Linked DNA regions of Anolis sagrei. The protein of the gene in region 2 interacts with the protein of the main gene of each other region in a biochemical or structural test. Links are inferred from orthologs where the notes say so. Each region holds a gene or a part of one and is shown on either strand. Other genes may lie near its edges.

Evidence for each region.
Region 1: the proteins of PDZK1 (region 2) and SLC15A5 interact in a test that uses a peptide from one of them, tested with the Homo sapiens proteins (2 studies listed by IntAct, with this or other methods). The link is inferred for Anolis sagrei from reciprocal best matches to the Homo sapiens genes PDZK1 and SLC15A5.

What each region holds. Positions count from the first base shown.
Region 1 is NC_090025.1:181,823,321-181,833,219, forward strand, and holds the start of SLC15A5 (solute carrier family 15 member 5), read right to left. Parts: upstream 3,960-9,899; 5' UTR 3,897-3,959; coding exon 3,539-3,896; intron 1,363-3,538; coding exon 1,140-1,362; intron 1-1,139. UniProt on the Homo sapiens protein: Proton oligopeptide cotransporter.
Region 2 is NC_090023.1:53,629,338-53,639,508, reverse strand, and holds the start of PDZK1 (Na(+)/H(+) exchange regulatory cofactor NHE-RF3), read left to right. Parts: upstream 1-6,012; 5' UTR 6,013-6,137; intron 6,138-6,875; 5' UTR 6,876-6,947; exon of another isoform or gene 6,948-6,951; intron 6,952-10,171. UniProt on the Homo sapiens protein: A scaffold protein that connects plasma membrane proteins and regulatory components, regulating their surface expression in epithelial cells apical domains.

The DNA.
Region 1 (9,899 bases), on a different chromosome or scaffold from region 2:
GGCACACCAGTGTGGCACATTGGTTTGAGTGCTGGACTATCTCTGGAGCCCAAGATTGGAATCCTCACTTGGTCCTGAAAGTCCACTGGGTTGACTCTGGTCAAGTCATACACTCTCAGCCCATTACAGCTCACAATAGGTTCACCTTAGGGTCATCATAAGGTGGAAATGATTTGAAGGCACACAACAATTCAGAATTCTTAGAGAGTTTCAGTGCCTTACCAACTGACAAATCACAGGATACCATAGGATGAAATCATGGCAGTTAAAGTGGAGACATAATGCTCTAACTGTATAGTGTGAATGGCCCCCACGTTGCATGTCTAATGAGAGCCAACACAAAAGTATCCCACCATCTGCTTTCTTGCATGAGAAGGCTCTAGGTAGATTACTACTGTTTTTTCTATGTTTTTCAGGAAAACCGACAGATCAGAGATATGAGATTGCCAATATACTTAAAAATAAACATATACAGATTGAAATCTCTTCAGGAAAAGTATTTTAATTAGGGCTAACTCAAGTGGTAGAGGTCAATGCCCACCAAACCCTTCCAGTATTTTCTGTTGATCATGAGAGTACTGTGTGCCAAGTTTGGTTCAATTCCATTGTTGGTGGAGTTCAGAATGCTCTTTGATTGTAGGTGAACTATGAATCCCAGCAACTCCCAAATGACAAAATCATTCTCCCCCAACTCCACCAGTATTCAAATTTGAGCATACAGGTATGTATGCCAAATTTCATCCAATGAATGAAAATACATCCTGCATATCAGATATTTGCATTATGATTCAAAACAGTAGCAAAATTATAGTTATGAAGTAGTAACAAAAATAATGTTATTGTTGGAGGTCACCACAACATGAGAAACTGTGTTAAGGGATTGCAGCACTAGGAGGTTGAGAACCAATGGAGTAGAGAGAAATGGGGGATATATTCCTTAGCATCAGATATATTGATTATGCTCTATTGAGAAGAGTCGTGTGTGAAATTCTATCAGACATGGCTGGACGTTCTTCGAAATTCCCAAAGTAGCAGTCAGAATAACATTTCGTTAGATGAAATATGGCATATTCAGCTACCAAGATCTTCCCAATGACACCCCAACCCATGCTTATTCTCCCATTCCAACAGATACTGACCAGTTGAAAAATGGCAGGCGCTCCTTTTGACCCGTTTCATCAAGATTATACAGGCGGAGAGGACACACTAGGACCCTTATTCCTCCTGAACCAAGACAGGTGGCAAGCAGTCCAATGTAAAACAGTGCCTTTTGTTCCCTCTTTGGCAAGGTGTGAAGGACATAGCGTTTGTCTATGAAAAAATCTTCAAATGGGAAGGCAACAACAGGCAACAGGGCTGTACCTGCAACAGGAGAGATGGGCACATGAGACGGAAAGAAGGGCAGGATTAAAGGCTATACATAAAACCAGATTTTTTAAAAGTTACTTTGGAGTAAAATTCCCAGAATCCCCCCAGGCAGCAAAGCTGTAGTTAAAAAACAAACAGCATTTCCAAACTTTAAAGCAGTTGTTCCCAATATTTGGTAATCCAGGTGAACATGAGGAAGAACTTCCTAACTGTGAGAGCTGTTCAGCAGTGGAACTCTCTGCCCCAGAGTATGGTGGATGCTCCTTCTTTGGAAGCTTTTAAACAGAGGCTGGATGGCCATCTGTCAGGGGCGCTTTGAATGCAATATTCCTGCTTCTTGGCAGGGGGTTGGACTGGATGGCCCATGAGGTCTCTTCCAACTCTATGATTCTATGATTCATGGATTTCAGCTCCCAGAATTCCTGACAGGCGGCAAAGCTCGCTGGGGCTTCTGGGAGATAAAGTGCCAAATCCTTTGAGGACTATAGGTTTGCAACCACCGTATAAAAAAGTTTGGGGGGTTTTTTTGCATAGAGTTACCAACTAGAAACTGGAGAAAGCTCCTGTACCTCTAATGCAGGGAAACTCGTTTTCAACACATCAGCTTTATGGTTGCCCTCAAAGGGACATTTTAAAATTGTATAAATGTAATGATGTTGCTGTGGCATTGAAAGCCTTGCAGGCTACATAAAATGATGTGGCATTTCACATATGTGATCTGATGGTTGTGTAGAAGAGGAAGTCACTTGCCACAAAATCAGGCAGTAAACAGCATCTACCGATGTTCACTTCTTCACAAATATTAAATGTACAGGAGCCCTCTCTAGTTTACAGTCTGGCAGATGTACACCAACTCACCAGATAAGAGGCTAAATCAAATTTTAGTCACAATAAAAGTGGATTCAGTGAAATTAATGGGACCTCCATTTGCCAACCCTAATAAGTACCATCCATTTCAATCAATTAAACGGTATGTTCTCTAGGGTTGTGCATTTAGGGTAAACCCTGACCTGTTTCATGCTTCAGCATTTGTTGGAGGCCCTGATCCATTTTTGGGAGCCTCCTGAAATCAGGAAGGCAGACATCAGTTTTTGCTCTCTGATATCAGAAGATCAATTTTCTATCAGCCCATTATTGGGGTAGTGGGAGGGAGGCTTCTCATCCAGTCTACCCTTCCCAGCACACACTTTAATGAGGCTTCTTCTTACCTGCTGCTTCTACTCTACTTGGCTGTAGGACCTGGCAAGTGTGAGCGCTCCTGCATTCCACACACACTCTCTTCTTGGAATGTGTGTGTGTGTGTGTGGTGTGCAGGAGCACGCACACCTGGCAGGCATGGGCATTCTGGGCCTGCACACCACACACACACACACAGAGTTTCCAAGGAGAGTGTGTGTGTGTGGTGTGTAGGAGTGCCCATACCTGCCAGGGCTTGCAGCTGAGCACTTCTTACTTTGTGATGCCAAAAAGCAGACAAGGAGCTGGGACCAGCTCCTGCTTGCTTTTGTGTCAAGCTGATTTTCATAGGGGGAGAGGACTTCCTGTTACAATCTCCTGAAATAATGAAGGACACGAAAGAAACGAAGGAAACGGGAGAAATGAATTTCACACACAATTGTACTGTTCTCTTTCTCAGACTCTCCAAATATGATTGGCCTGTAAGTACCAGCAGCTCCAGCCACCATAGTGAGGAATCCTCCTCAGACTTGTAGTTCAGCAGTCTCCACAAGGATGCATGATTCCCATATATGATTTAACCCAAGATACCCAAATGTGTTAAATCTCTTCTGTACCTCTCGAGCAATAATTTCAGCAACATCAACTATATGCTATTATTGTTTCTCTGGCTGGAAGATGGAAGCCATCTTCCCAAGCACACTGCAGAATTATAGCAGTTTGACACTTCTTTAACCATGTTGGCTTAATCCTATGAAATCCTTGGATTTAAACTACAAATCCCAGAATTTAATGGCATAGAGCTATGACAGTTAAAGTGGTGACAAATTGCTATAATTCTGCAGTGCATATAGCCCATGGGGCTATAGGTGCTTTGTTACTTGCAGGCACCTCCATTTTGATATAGGAGCACCAGATTTTAAGAAGCCACAGTCTGAACACACCTTGCATTACAAACAACTGTCAGAGAATAGCACAACAAGGTACAACTTACCTATAAAATGCAGCAATGCACAGATATATACCAATTTGATTCGTCCCCCCGGACTTTCAGCAAGCCAGCCCATCAGAGAAGGGGTCACCATGCAGGCACCTGAAAAGCAAAGGTTGATCATGGCTGCCTGGTAGTTGTGGTAGCCAAGTTTGATGGTGCAGAAAAGGATCATGTTGCAGACAATGCCGAAAAAAGTGAATTTTTCACACAAGTCCACCAGGACAGCATAGAGCATCACCTGGATCTCCTTCTGAAACTTTGAGCCAACTTGTTGGGTCTGAGACTTCCTCCTCTCCTTCCTGGGACTGTTGTTCAAAAGTCGTGGGTCTTGAATGAAACTGATGCCCGAGGGAGGCATGGCGATTCGATCAAACAGATAAGCCAAGCTTAGAGCGACACAGATTTCCTGAGCTGTACACTTCAGCAGCGACCCTCTCCTGCAATTAACCCACAAGTGAGACATTTGTGTTAAATTCCACACCTTGCCGTGACAATTCTCAGAACTTCTCTTATATTCCTGCTTTCTGATCCAAGACCTCAATGGTAACTTATTTGACAGTGCAACTTGGGTGGCAACCAATCTGTTTAATTAGCGTGCTATGTGGCAAATGCAATCTTGGCTCCTTCCCACCGGCAAACAATTGCCTATTAAAATGATGTGAATCCAATACCATGTGCAACAAACTTTATCTGCCTCTTACAGATAAAGGTTTAAATACCGATGAAGTCTAATGCACCTCAGCAAAATTCTAGTATGAGGATCCAGAAAATAATGTGGGGCTAATATTCCAATGTTTTAATTAAGCAAACGCAAATAAAACTGGAAGCAAAGAGATAAAGACGCAAAGGATACATGTTAGCAGATGAACAATAGCTTATCATTATTACATTTTTGGTTATTTTGGAGTTCAATTCCGATAAAGAAGTTAATTAGAGGGGGAAATATGGGCCACTAGATTTAAGTGTAATAAGTAGCATCCTCATCCATTCACCTTCTTCCTAATAATTACAATCTATTCATGAACAAGTTGGGAGCAGAGATGAGGAAAATGTTCAGGGGATATTCTAAGCCAGTTTTTCCCTTGCTTACAACTGAATTTTAGGGGCTTTTTGGGAATTTACTTGACCACATGAGAATGGGATGCGGGTAGACTAGGATAGGAATGGGGTAATCTTCCAGAGGGTGTTGAACTGTAACTTTCCAGCATTCCTCAGCAATGACTATGCTGTCTAGTATAATGGAGTAGCAATCCAGCAGTGAATCAATATGGTGTAGTGGCAAAAGGTACTAACTGAGTGTCAGATAGCACTCCAAGGGAACACAGTTCCACTCAGCCATGGAAACTGGTTAACTTATCTTGTGCAGGTCACACTCTTTCAATCTCAGAAAGTCAATGGCACATCACATCTGAATAATTCTTGTCTAGAAAACCCTAAGGTAGGATTGCTATACATACAACTTCAAGGCATATAATAACAAAAACAAGTCCAACAATACTAGAGGGCTATAGGTTTCCCACCCTAAGTTGGAGGAATGAGGGTTTCACAAATGCTAGATTCTCATGCCTACCCAGCCCAGCTTTCACAAGCCGACTTTTAAGCAAGTTGCTCTGATAGCGCACTCTATTTGGGATTTATAGTTTGCTGGGATACATAGAATTCTCTGCTCGAGAGCTCTATGCCCATCTCCCTGGAACTATAGCTCCTTAGACATCTTGACTTAATTCTCAACCTCTTTCTTCTTAGGCAATGTTTCTCAGCCTTCCCAATGCCATGACCCCTTACTACAATTCCTCATGTTGTGGTGAACCCCAACCATAACATTATTTTCGTTACTGTAATTTTGCTACTAATCATCTCCCATCAAAGGATTCCCTCAGGCGGGAAGTAGCAAGCCTTTGAAGCTGATCAGTCACAGCATTCACACTTCCCTCATGCAGACAAAAGTTCTTTCTCCCACCCCTGGACACTCCATAGATATATAAACCCCACTTGCCTAGTTTCCAACAGACCTCACAACCTCTGAGGATGCTTCCCATAGATGTGGGTGAAACGTCAGGAGCGAATGCTTCTGGAACATTGGCTATACAGCCTGGAGAACTCATAGCAACCCAGTGATTTTGGCCATGAAAGCCTTCGACAACACAATTTTAAACAATGTTTTAGGTTAACCTCTAACAGCCAACAGTAAGAAATAGGAATGGTAATACCTCCCTCCCCTTTTATCCTGTGTAGCATTAAACAAAGAGATAACTCCATTATAGAGAACTCAGCCCCAAAGTACTTTTCTGGCATTAACCTAGGGCTTATAAGAAGAGAAAGAAGTCAATTTAGAGCATGTTTAGAAACCTGGGGTTGGGACAGATAATGGGCGAGAGCAAAGCTGCTTCTGCACATTTTTAGTAGCAAACTCAAATAGTAGTAGTTATAAGTATGACCTTTCTTACCTGTCTTCTTCCCTTTTTCTCACTTCTGCAAAAGAGTCTTCTGTTCTTAAAGGAGCCCTGAAAGACACCCAGCCTTGCGATGACTTATTCTATGGCCCAGGAATGGGAAAGAATTAAGGAGAAATCCAATATATACTTTTTGGGGAGTAAATCCATTGGCTTATGCTTCCCTGTCAACATGCAAAGGTCAGAGCATAGTCACCAAACACACAGCATGAGACCCTACACTCAGAGGGCTGGGCTGAGTAACCCTCAAGAGGTACATTTCCCATTTGCAGCCCCACGACCTCAATGCAGCTCCACTCAGAATGGTAATTCGACGTCTTAAGACCATTCACATTTATTGCAAAGCCAAACAACTTTAAGTAAAGTGGGCTTTACATTTTTTAAGGTGAATCTGCATGTATTTGTGTGATTTATTGTGCTTTCAAGAAGAAGGATTGCCTGTGTTGCTATGTTCTTGGAAGGTCCACACGAGCTGAAGAAAGTGTACAAATGGGTTATAGGTCAATCGGAAGAGACAAGGTAGTAAATTCCGGCAAGAGATAGATATGCACTAAGGTCTTCTTGTCTGGTTATGGGAAATCTTTTGGGCAACATTGATTTTACTCACTGAGAAAATATCTCATATGTTTGTTTTGATTTTTTGTGCTTCTTTGTAATCTTCAGGACTAGACACCCAAAGATATAGGAGCTGAGTCTCATGACACCAGTTTCACAAACAGATATGAATGTAGGGATGGTCACATTTCTCTTCTTCCAACCCAGGTGTATCCATTTCACATAATTATAGCAGTTTGATGCTAGTTAAAGTGCCATGGCTCTTATGGGAATTCTGGGATTTGCAGTTCAATGAGATACTTAGGATTTTCTAGTATACTTCCTTAAAGTCTGGTAGAGAATTCCAAATATCTCACCAAACTATATATCCCATAAGATCAAGCCATGGCAGTTAAAATGGCATAACAGTGTGTAGGGTAGCTAGCTATATAATACATTTCAACTCGCTTTTTTGCAATCCTGGGAATTTTTTTAAGCACTAGCCATAAAAGAAAAGATGGCAAAAAGCAGATATATGACTGTTTCGTGAACTTGAAAAAGTTTTTTTAAAAAACCCACCTCTGGCCATGATTGCTAAGAGATTTGGAGAACTACAGTCCAAACATAACTTTCTTAAGATTTGACCATTTCTAGGTGACCTTTACTTACTTATTTACTTACTTAGGCAATCCCTCGTAGTCCGAGGATGATGGTCCTCCAAGTTTAGTGTCTTGGTGGCTGTGGAACCCTGTTCTTGCTCCATATACTCACCCTCAGTGAGGACATGAGTTTCCAGGTAGAAGGTGACCCCAGTCAGGGTTGGTTTGACATGCCTTTCTGTTGGCACACTTCTCCCTTTTGCCCTCCATTCATGTCTCTTTGAATTCTGCATCACTGCTGGTCATAGCTGACCTCCAGTTAGAGCTCTCAAGGGCCAGGCCTTTCCAGTTCTCAGTGTCTATGCCACAGTTTTAAAGGCTGGATTTAAGCCTATCTTTAAGTCTCTTTTCCTGTCCATCAATTCTTGAGTTGGGTGTATAGTAACTGCTATGGAAGACGGTGATCGGGCATTTGGACAACATGGCCAGTCCAGTGAAATTGATGGTGTAGGTGACCACAGGACAATGAATGTTTCAAATGTTAATGCTTCTTTATATGTTTGAATAAAGGTAAGGGAGGGAATTTGAATGACTGCTGGATCAGCAGCAGAAGACTGGAGGTTAGCCTATTTTAAATCAGCCCTGGAGTAACCCCATATGCGACATTTTTGTGTCAAATCCAGGCCATTTATGAAATATTTATTTATTTATTTATTTATTTGATGCATTTATTAACCGCCATTCTCAGCCCTTTAGGGCGACTCATGGCGGTGTGCACACATGTAAAAGACAGTTTACAAAGAAGCAATTACAACAACATATAAACTACATAACAATTACAAACTACACTAAAAATCCGCTTCGTCTCATAGTAGAATCATAACCAATCTCATATTCCTTGTTCCATTCCAGTCATCTTTACCACATTGTTATAGCACTTAATTAAATGCCTTCTCGAACAGCCATGTCTTGAGGCTTTTTCGGAAGGACATGAGGGAGGGCGCCTGTCTGATGTCTGCAGGGAGAGTGTTCCACAGCCAGGGGGCCACCACCGAGAAGGCCCTCTCCCTCGTCCCTGCCAGACGTGCCTGTGAGGCAGGCGGGATCGAGAGAAGGGCCTCCCCAGACGATCTCAAGGTCCTCGTGGGCCTGGACTACATGTGCACTGCTGGGATGTCTTGCACCTCACTTCCTCCATGTCTCCTCTGCACTTAGCTAGATATCGAGCCCTAAAGTATCCCCTTATTTTGGAGATAAAGAACTCTGAAACCACTCTCCTGAACATACTGACTATGGCTGGATCTACACTGCCCTATATCCCAGGATTTGATCCCAGATTATCTGCTTTGAACAGGATAATGTGAGTCTTTACTGCCAGAAAATATGGGATAAAAAGATAATCTGGGATCAGATCCTAGGATATAGGGCAGTGTAGATCAAGCGCTAGTCAGTATGTTCAGGAGAGTGGTTTCAGAGTTACCTATCTCCATTTGAGACTGAAATCCTGGTTCTTCCCTGCCTTGATTATACAAGTTGCTTTAAGGAGGTCAGAGGAATGGAGGTATCTGGAGCAGGCATGCTACTTCCTACAAATTACTTTATGGGCATTCGCTCAAAGGTAAGGTCTACTGAGTTCAAGAGGGCTTGCTCCCTAGTTAGTGCTGGCGAACAACTAGGAGTTTCACACATTTGAAGCCATGTAAACAAATCATATTTTTCTATTAGCAACCTCTCTGCTGTGAAGATTGTTTAGCAGCCAAAATCATATAGCAGCATATTTTTTCTATCAATCATGTGTAGGCACAAAGCTGCCAGACATTTTTAATTTTATTTTAATTTTATTTATTTGTTTGGCAAATCTCCTGTACCTTTAACACCTCTCTTGACAGGCAGCTAGTGAAAAGATTTCCCCATAACAGCTATCTTATTACAGGAAGCACACACAATGTATGATAGCTGTGAGGGTCCACAGAATAAGGCAAACAAAATTACAGAAAGATGCCATGTTGATTAGGACCAAAGACAATAATGGTGGCTTTTTCTTTCTTGAGGTAGTCAGAGAGCCCTGAAGGATCCTGAAATATTATTCCTTCCCTTTTACTTCTTGGGAGAAGAACAATGACCAATCTCGATAAAATAATGAAGAGTAGAGACATCACACTGGCAATGAAGATCCGCATAGTTAAAGCAATGGCATTCCCCGTAGTAACCGATGGATGCAAGAGCTGGACCCTAAGGAAGGCTGAATGAAGGAAGATAGAGGCTTTTGAACTGTGGTGTTGGAGGAAAATTCTGGGAGTGCCTTGGACTGCAAGAAGATCCAACCAGTCCATGCTTCAGGAAATAAAGCCCGACTGCTCACTGGAGGGAAGGATATTAGAGGCAAAGATGAAGTACTTTGGCCTCATCATGAGAAGAAAGGAAAGCTTGGAGAAGATACTGAGGCTGGAGAAAATGGAGGTAAAATGGAAGAGGGGCCGACCAAGGGCACGATGAATGGATGTTATCCTTGAAGTGACTGGCTTGACTTTGAAGGAGCTGGGGGTGGTGACGGCTGACAGGGAGCTCTGGCATGGGCTGGTCCATGAGGTCACTAAGAGTCGGAAGCAAATGAACGAATAAACAACAACAACAACCCTTAGTGACATTCTGGTTGATTTTCAAAATGTCACTGCACTACTATAAAGTCACAGAAGTTCTGGTAGAAGAAGTACAAGTCAGCCCTACACATTAACTGGGTTTAGGGGCACAGGTTTTATGTAAAAGAGAAAAAAC
Region 2 (10,171 bases):
TTTATTTATTTATTTATTTCAGTTACTTTTACCCCGCCCTTCTCACCCCCGTTATTTTATTATTTTTAAAATTTTTAGTGAGATTACACAATTCCAGAATTTATAAACAAAAAAGCCAATTATATATATATATATACATACACACACACACACACACACATATACATACACACACACCAACTCACCAACTTTAGAATAATGGGGGAAGAGGGAGAGAAGACAAAAAACCTTTCCTCAGACATCACTTTACTGTTGGCATGCTAGCAAAGACCCAAAAGGGACCCATCATACCAAGGTAGGTGGTGGCAACACTGCAGGATTTAGATATATTGATGGGTTTTATGTGTTAACAGGGATGGGAGAGTCATGGGAAGTGGTGAAGCAGATCAACAACAAGATGCGCACAGAATGGTATGATAGGGAATTCAATTACCATGCTGGTTTGCCTGCTTCACTGCACTGATATAACTCCCATGGTTCCCTTCTAGGTATTCCTGGGATTTGTAGTTTGTTGTGGCACCAGAGCTATCTGAAATTGAAAATACCAGAATCCCACAACATTGGCAGTTAAAGTGGTATATTATAGCTGAAGAAGGCCTTTCAGATCTGCTGGAGTTCTCTAGAGCAGTGGTTCTCAAATCCTCATCATCCCAAGCACTTTCTAAGGGCCCCAGCCACCTTGACCAATAGTCAGAGACGCTAAAGGTTGAGAACCACAGCTCTAGCAGTCATAACAGGTGATGTCATTGGTCTGCATCTGGATATAGGAAGATAGCCACATGATTCTGAGATTTCAGTAATGAAATGGCAGGAAGGGACTGTCATAAAACAACTGTGAGTCCAAGTGAAGGCCTTTTGCAACTGCAGAAGAAAGAAGTACCAGCCTTCACAACTCAAAAAGATAGCATATGCAAGATGTACCTCTGCATTTGTCACAAATAAGATACCAGCAATTATGTGTTTCTAGCTAACAAACAGCATAGAATGTAACCAAAGGGGTACTGAGGCACCTCTAAAACTAACTGAGTGCAATAAGTTTCTGACCTAAGCTTTCATGGACTCAGGGTGTACCGTAGAAGTAACACTGTTTGACATTAATTTAACAGCCATGGCTCAATGCTACGGTATTTTAGGAGCTGTAGTTTTTCAAAGTCTTTGGCCTTCTCTGCATACTGTAGCAAGATTAGGTCAGCTCCATCCCTCCTCTCTTTTAGAAAGAAGCTCAAAACATGGTTTTTCAAAGTCTTTGGCTTTCTCTGCATTAATCCAGGGTTATTTAAGTGGTATCAAATTACCTTAATGCTACAGAGTAGATGCATCCCAAGTCTACTTTATGAAATGAATTGATCCAGTAAATGCATACTGTAGCAAGATTAGGTCAGCTCCATCCCTCCTCTCTTTTAGAAAGAAGCTCAAAACATGGTTTTGGGACCACGCCGTTGGACAGTAGGTTTGACAGTAATCATAATGTTGGAATTTTGACTATGACAGGCTTTGGACTGGGTCACCGGTTGCTAAATTAGACTTTGATTCGGCTACATGATAATAATGTTTTAAATGTATTTTAATCTAATGTTTTCGCTTTTGTATAATGTTGTACGTAATGTGTTGTATGGTGTCGCAACAAATTGCTGCCATTATAAGCTGCCCTGAGTCCCCATTCGGGGGTTGAGAAGGATGGGCTAGAAATGTTGGAAATAAATAAAATAAATAAATCTGTTCTATGAAAGCTTATGCAACAAGTTTTAGTCTCAAAGGTGCTAAGATATCTTACAGTATCCCTTTGTGTACTTATCCTGACTAACAAGGCCATGTCTTTGAATTCTATAAGCATAAAATGTATCTAGTTATCATTCATTTCATTAGGACCATAAGAAGTTATCTTATACTTTTACCTGGAGCCCCCAGTGGTGAAATGGGTTAAACCCTTGTGCCGGCAGGACTGAAGACCAACAGGTCGGAGTTTCAAATCTGGGGACAGCACGGATGAGCTCCCTCTGTCAACTCTAGCTCACCATGTGGGGACATGAGAGAAGCCTCCCATAAGGATGGTAAAACATCAAAACATTCAGGCATCCCCTGGGTAACATCCTTGCAGACAGCCAATTCTCTCACACCAGAAGCGACTTGCAGTTTCTCAAGTCGATCCTGACACGAGAAAAAAAATACTTTTACCTCCCTACACTGGGATGAGAATCATATTGTGTGAGACTAAATCTTCTAGCATTTTTCATCATTATCTATGATGACTAATGCTGCCATAGCAGATACTTCAATAACATCTGGACACGTAAATAATTGCCTCTCCTAGTCTCAGTTCACTGATAGGAAGCCACGTGATTTTCAGTTAACGTGCCACACCAAAAAGTCCTCCAAATGTTTTGAACTTCAACTCCCAGAAATCCCAGCCAACTTAACAGCCATTAGGAGTTGTAAAAGCTGAAGTCCAAAACACCTAGAGGTTCTGGAAGGGCATTCCAAGATCCAGAGCAGCCATCAGGAACTACTCACCATTCCACTACTCTTGGAGTACAAACCTGTAGCATACAACATTCAGCTAACAATGAAGAAAAATGCTTGTATGGTTGTAAAATTGCTAAGCTATAAGGGGTAATGCCTTGGTGCCTCTATATGAATGCTCCTTAACAAAAGAGACACAAATCAAATGGCAGTTGAAGTAAGAATGTAAGGTAATTCCTTTTTGTGGACTTAGCACAAGCAGACCAAGCAGCGTCTATTTTATTCTGTCATAAATTGTGTGGGAGAATCTTATGAAGGAATGCCTTAAACTTGAAATGACCTATGATGGGAATTCAAGATAAGCAATTGTAACTCTCCATCCAAGAAATGTCAAGCAATTATTCACCTGGAGAAAACATTGTTGCGCAAAGAGAACTAATATATTGTGTCTTTTATGTGTGGCTGACCAGAAATTATCCAAAAATATCTCTCTCCACAGAGAGGAAAAGACAAAGAGTTTGTGGTAAAATGAGAACTGAATTATAGTTTTCCTGCCTTTATTGGCAAAATATATGGACTCTTTTGTGCTTAACTTTTCCCCTGGCTGGAGTTTCTATTGGCTGAGTGTCACAATTACCTTTTATATTATTTCCTTTAAACCACTGCTGGGAAGAATGTGGTCTTACAAACGCTGTCGTACTGTCACTCTCAACAACTGTGGCCTCTTCCACACTGCCATATAATCCAGTTCAAAGCAGATAATCTGGATATTGTATGGCAGTGTGGAAGGGGCCTGTGTTGCTCAGAATCGTTGGGCATTTCTATCCAACATCAGGAAAGCCACATGGTCTTTCTCCTGATTCATAAGAAGGCAGAAGAGAAACAATAGGATAATATGGGAGAATTATAAATGGAAAACAGCACATGAGAACCCTTACTCCCGCAAATGTGAAGTTGGAGCACTGCTGGATTTATGCACAAGTGAAATAAGACACAATGTTGGGTTTCACACAATGGAAATCTCTTTATACAAACAAATACTGCTGCTTTTTAAACTAATAAACTAAGTTTCAAACTATTGATTAAAAACCAGAGGAAAAAATGAGGAAAGGACCATTGTTTTTTGATAGGAAAGAAATTCACTGAACACAATTGTTTCTTATCTGTTCATAAATCTGTAAACAGAAACTATTTTATTTATTTACCCTATTTATACTCTGCCTTTCTCAACCCTGAAGGGGACTCAAGGCAGCCTACATACAGGCAATTATTCAATGCCTTAAAGCAACATACAATTCCAATGAACAGTTAAATTAAAATTAAAATTAATACATAAATGTAAAGGTAAAGGTAAATGTTTTCCCTGACACTAAGTCTAGTCATGTCTGACTCTGGGGGGGGGGGGGGGTGCTGATCTCCATTTCTAAGCCGATGAGCTGGCATTGTTTGTAGATGCCTCCAAGGTCACGTGGCCAGCATGACTGCATGGAGCGCCGTTACCTTCCTGCCGCTACCTTCCTGCCAGAGCACTACCTATTGATCTACTTACATTTGCATGCTTTCAAACTGATAGGTTGGCAGAAGCTGGGCCTAACAGTGGGAGCTCACCCCACTCCCCAAATTCAAACCACAACCTTTCAATCAGCAAGTTTAGCAGCTCAGCAGTTTAACCCGCTGTGCCACTGGAGGCTCATAAAATTAATATACATTAAACATTTAAAAACATTACATTCAATATTAAAAATGAAGCCACCCATAATCATAGTTCAGGGACATTCCAATAGCTATTTCACATATTCCATATCTATTATTGCAATACAACTATTATCTGAAGGCTATGTTTTATATCAAGTATCTATTTGGTTAGGTGTCCACAACCTGTCAAATATCGCTGGTAGCAGGTGACTGGTGTTGTAAATATATATACAAATATACACCTCATGTCACAGATCACTTGCATGAGAGGGAGATGCAAATTAACAGGGAGATGGGCCCCTGTCACTTGCAGTGCTCTATAAGTGGAGATAGGGGATTTCTGTGAATTCTAGATATCCTCTAAACTATGCAACACATAGGAATCATTAATGTTCTTGTAATAAATGCTGGGAATCCCTGGCCCTTGAATGCTCCAGTTGGAGGTCAGCTGTGACCAGCAGTGCTGCAGAATTTGAAGAGGCACGAATGGATGATGAAAGAGAGAAATGTGCCAAGAGGAAGGCACATCAAGCCAACCCCGACCAGGACCGCCTTCCACCTGGAAACCATTGCCCTCACTGTGGGAAAAGATGTAGATCAAGAATAGGGCTCCACAGTCACCTATGGACCCACACCGAACACCGACCTTGGAAGACCATCATCCTCGGACTATGAGGGATCGCCTAAGTAAATGTAATAAATACATACTTCTAGGTTGTGCATCCATAACTGCATCAGTGAATTCCAGCCCAAGTCTTTGCTGCAGGAAAGAGAGGAGGAAGAGGTCTACCAAGCCTCCTCTGGAAATATTTCCAGAAGTGGGGAGTATCCGCTGAGAAGGCTCTATCCCTTGTCGATCAGTCAAATCAGGAGCCTGGCTGTAGCATTTTGGATGCTCTCCAGTTTCTGTTACCATGAACAGGTCTGACATCTCCAGAAACAAGCACAACTGGTTTACTGGTTTTAGCTACAAATAAATTCCTTGCCACTTCTGAACAGCTCAGCTCAGATCCAACTCCAGAGAGGACTCAAGCTGTAAAATCTGAGATTTCATTGGGAATGTAACCCCATCCAGCATGAACAGGTAGTTTGCCGTCAATTAACACAGCACATTGGGAGAAGGGAATAGAAGAGGAGTATAGCCATCCCCATCAGACAAAAGCTTCACTCTATCCTGGATTTTGTGTTCTTTCTCATTAATAACTGTTATCATCTTGTCATATTCAGATGTTTGTTTGGTTTTTTGTTTTGTTTTGTTTTGTTCACCTATGTCTCGGTTTTCATCTAAGAATTGTTGGAGGGTATATGGGAAGAACCAGTGTGATGTAGTGATTTGAACACTGAACTGTGACTCTGGAGACCAGGATTTGATTCACCACTTGACCATGGAAACCCACTGGATGACCTTGGGTGAGTCACACACTATCAGCACCAGAAAAGCCTTAAGGTTATAAAAAAAAAAATCAGAAAGGACTTGAAAGCATGCAACACCAATAATATCAACAACATATAATATGTATAAATGTCTTTGCAACTCTGTATTTCATTCCTTGATCATTTCCACTTCAGTCTGACTGTCATCAGGAAAGCTTCCACGCAGAGACAATTTCAATGAATAAATGAAACTGCCAGTTAAAAATAATAATCAAATGCCTTGTTATGGGAAGAAGGTGTAGAGTCATCTGTATGTTGGGACCCGTGCTTGAGTTTAACCGTTGCTATATCTGTAATTAAAGATTCTTCACTCACCTCACAAGAACTATAATTCCCATGCTCCCCTGGGGAAAGGAAATTATCATTAAGCTACTTTAAATCTGTGGTGGATAAGCCCGAAATGTTTACAGGTGCTTCATGGGAATTAGGTCAGTAGCTTTGCTCGAAAAGGGCTGAGAGTGGGAGTGGATTTAGCAAGCTGTGATGTAGTCTGTAAGGCAAATGTGAGCTTTATGTTTCTGAACATAGGAAGGCTGTAAGCGTGCCAGGTATGGAATACCTTCTTTTTGTATTCAGCCTTTCAAAATACTATCAGATGGCTAACTAAAGATTATTACAATGCATTGCTTTGGTTAGTGAGGTATGATTTCTAGCTTGTATTTCTACCATTTGGGGTATTTTTCAAACACATGGGTATGGTAAGAAGAAGGAAGAAAAGTAATATGTCCTTTGGAAGGATAATCTTGCATTTGAGTGTAAAAAATATTTTTGGCGAAGAAGCTTATGGCCTTTGTTTCAACAGATGGTGTTTGTCTACGAAAATGGGGAAAGTGTGCTCATCTAAATGCTTCCAGATTGCAGCTTTCATCAGTCCTTGCCTGTTCGGCCAGTTTTGACGGATGATGGAACTTGCTATCCAACAATATCTAGTCCACTCATTCCATAATCATGGTTCATATCATAACAATCTATGGGTTTTGGATGTATTGGGTACATGACAAATGTCTATATGTTTACAAATCCATAGTTGAACCTCTTTGTATGAACGAAAAGAAAAGTCAGCTGTATCAAAGATCAGATGTGTCTTGGCTGTGCTGCAGGGGCAAAATCATGGCAACTGCAATGATCAGTGAGCCACGAGGGCAGAATCTAGAGTTACTAAAGGAAACTCAGTGCTCAGCTGGGAAGAATGAGGGTGGGGAAAAGATTGGTTATCAAGCAGTCCAACATAAGTAATGAAACCCAGTTAAATAAATCATCTTTTAAATCAACCTTTGCCCATTCAGAGTGTGGCCATCCTTACTGATGCAGCAGAATGAGATAGTACAGAATGTTCTAAGGATCCAACTTCTACACAGGCAAGTAAGAAAATTTTTGAATCCCTCTTTTTCAAATCTTCCGCATTTTAAATTAGATTTAGTCTATTGTTTTACATCTTTCAGGAACTCCTTGATACCTAGGGTGCATTTACACTGGAGAATTAATGTAGTTTGACATCACTTGACTGCCATGCCTCAATGCTCTGGAATCATGAGATTTGTAGTTTTGTTTAACATAACCTAAAGTCAGAGAAGGCCACCTGATTCTTCTGTAGACTGACATTTTATTTTATCTCCTCCTTCATAAAAGCCTGCCTACAATCTTACAAACAGAACTAAGCATGCTCATTTCTTTCAATACTACTTCACTATGGACCATACGGATTAATTTATAAAATCAAGAGCCTATTCCGAATTCTGTTATATGTGGATTACTGAAATGATATTGATAGGGGTCTATATGGCACTTGTAAAACTGCATATTTGGTAGAACCTGTGAAAGAACTTGTTTATGATGCTTGAAAAGATTCTTGATTGACTATTGAAGTTTTCAAAAGTTATACTGAACCTTGAGCCCCAGATTTATTATAATGATAATGCTAATAATATCAGTGATGTTGATCCTTCTCCTATGTCAACACATATTCAGCATAGTGTGCCGAAAGTGTTGAAGGAGTGGAAATGTATGGACCAAAAATGTTATAAAATTGCCTTAGTCAGTAAACCTACTACTGAGGTATGATGGGACTTGCAATCCAGCTGTATGTGGAAGGTCATCAGATATCAAACAATGCATGACTATTAGTTATAGTTAGATGTGGTGGCTATTGTAGATGGAGCTTTTGTAAAGGAATATGAACAATTTTATCTCTAGCATTGCTAGAGTATTAGAAGCCCAATTTACCTTTAAGCTGTGTTTAGAAGAAGAAGAATGAATAGGCAGAGGGGACCTGAATGCCACATACTTCGCTCTCCTTATCTAGGATGGATATTCCACGTATTAACCATTGCTTCTTTACATATTAACTACAGCATCCACTAGCAAAGGAAGAATGAGCAAAGTACATGATAGCTATGAATAATCAGAACCACAGTTTAATTAAGAACCCATGGAGCTCTTCTTGAAAGTGGAGAGTTGTTGACAACTTTTAGCCTGTATGGTTAGGCAAGAATGAGAACCCAGATTGCTCATCACATTTTGCATTGCTTTAAACTGTTTGAATTGATTATGTGCCAACGACAGATCTTGTGATCTAATGTGATAAATAGATATTTTGGGTTACTGTGAGTTTTTGGGCTGTATTGCCATGTTCCAATAGTAATAATAATAATAATAATAATAATATAACTTTATGTTTATACTCTGCCTCCATCTCCCCGAAGGGACTCAGGGCGCATGGGACAAAATGTCGACAAAACATCAAAACAAAAACAATCCTTTAAAACAAAAAACCACAATTAAAATAAAGCATAGCAAAACATAACAATCAAATAAAACCCAATTAAATAAAACATAAGGGTATAAAACAGCAGCATTAAAACTCACTCAAACAATACACAACAAAAACCAAGAACCAGAATACTAAGATGAGTGTGATTCCCCTTCTTGCTACTGGAACATGGTCATGCAGCCCGAAAAACTCACAGCAACCCAATGATTCTGGCTACAGAAGCCTTCATCAATACAATAGATATTTTGATTTATTGATTGACTGATGATAAATGGGGGACACAAACATGCAGGTTTTAATAACTCAGCACATACACCTGTAAACATTTAGCAGAACAAACGCCAGCAGAATACTCTCCCTACTCCTATATCATTTTAGCACCCTTTTGTTAATAAGGGCACAAGACTGTCATCATATCTACTCCATGAAACTATTCATAAGTTTTCAAAGAAAATCTGTAGATCAGAAGGGGGCGAATTGGCACAACAATGTGATAAGGAATACAGAAGTCAAAAACAATTGTAACACATCTAGCATAGCAGCAATTGGAAACAGTAGAATCTCACTTATTCAATCTTTGCTCATCCAACGTTCTGATTTATCCAGCGCAGTCTGCGTCCTGCCCGAATCCACAGCTGTTTCAGTACATTACGATGGTTTGGTGCTAAATTCGTAAATACAGTAATTACTTCATAAGTTACTGTGCCTTGAACTTCTTTTTCTGTTGATTTGTTGTAAAAGATGGTGTTTTTATTGCTTAATTTGTAAAATCATAACATAATTGGATGTTTAATAGGCTTTTCCTTAATTCCTCCTTATTATCCAACATTTTCGCTTATCCAACATTCTGCTGGCCCGCTTATGTTGTATAAGCGAGACTCTACTGTTATTACAAGAATTTTGAAAAGTTGCTTTTTTCTTTTATAAACACTATAAAATTCTAGATTTCCCAATCAATTTGACCATCAGCTAGGGAATTTTGTAAGTTGTACCAAGGAAGCAACAAGACAAAACTCCATTCATAAATGTTAAGCAAAACTCTAGGATTGGAGACCTTCATTCATTTGTATAAGAACTGGAAAGGTTGCCAAGCTGCCATGATCTTCCCATCAACAACCTAAGAACGACCTTCTGTTTTCAAGCCATTCATTGTAGTCACAATTTGCTCCTTGGCTGAGGATTTAATTGTTGTGGTTAATAACATAGAGCTCACATATATTTGCGCCAAACAAGAAGCCTATTCCTAGTTTAAGTTTATATGGGCACTAGAGAGCGAATGATTAATAGTTACATTTTTTCTCTGTGTGTGATTATTAATGTTTAATCCTCACATTGTAGTTGCAAAGAACCTTTACTAAAGTCCTTCACCTAAATAGATAATTCGTCATACACATCCTTCAAAATGGCTCAGAAAAAGAAATTCATTCTAGTTAATCAGTATGTTCTCCTCTATTCTGAAAGGATTCAGAAGATAAACTCAGAAAAACAAAGCTAACTCTTACAGCGGTTTTGTAACTACATTATACTGCAAGGTTTTCCTGATAAAATCCTCTCAGTTCATTGAATAGTGCTTCACAATCCAGTACATAAGGTTGACTAGTCTTTGAGAATGACACCAACATCCCCTGAATCCTTTTGTCCTCTTACCTGGATGAAGACTTAACACAATGTAACTGTGTTGAAGGTTTCCTATTGTACTGAGAGAACTAAATTCTATTAAACAGAGACCTAGTTTAAAAACACATGTATAGGATTTTGTTGACAAAACCTTTTGTAGTGACTTTTTCGGTATTGGGCAATGACTTTTTTTTC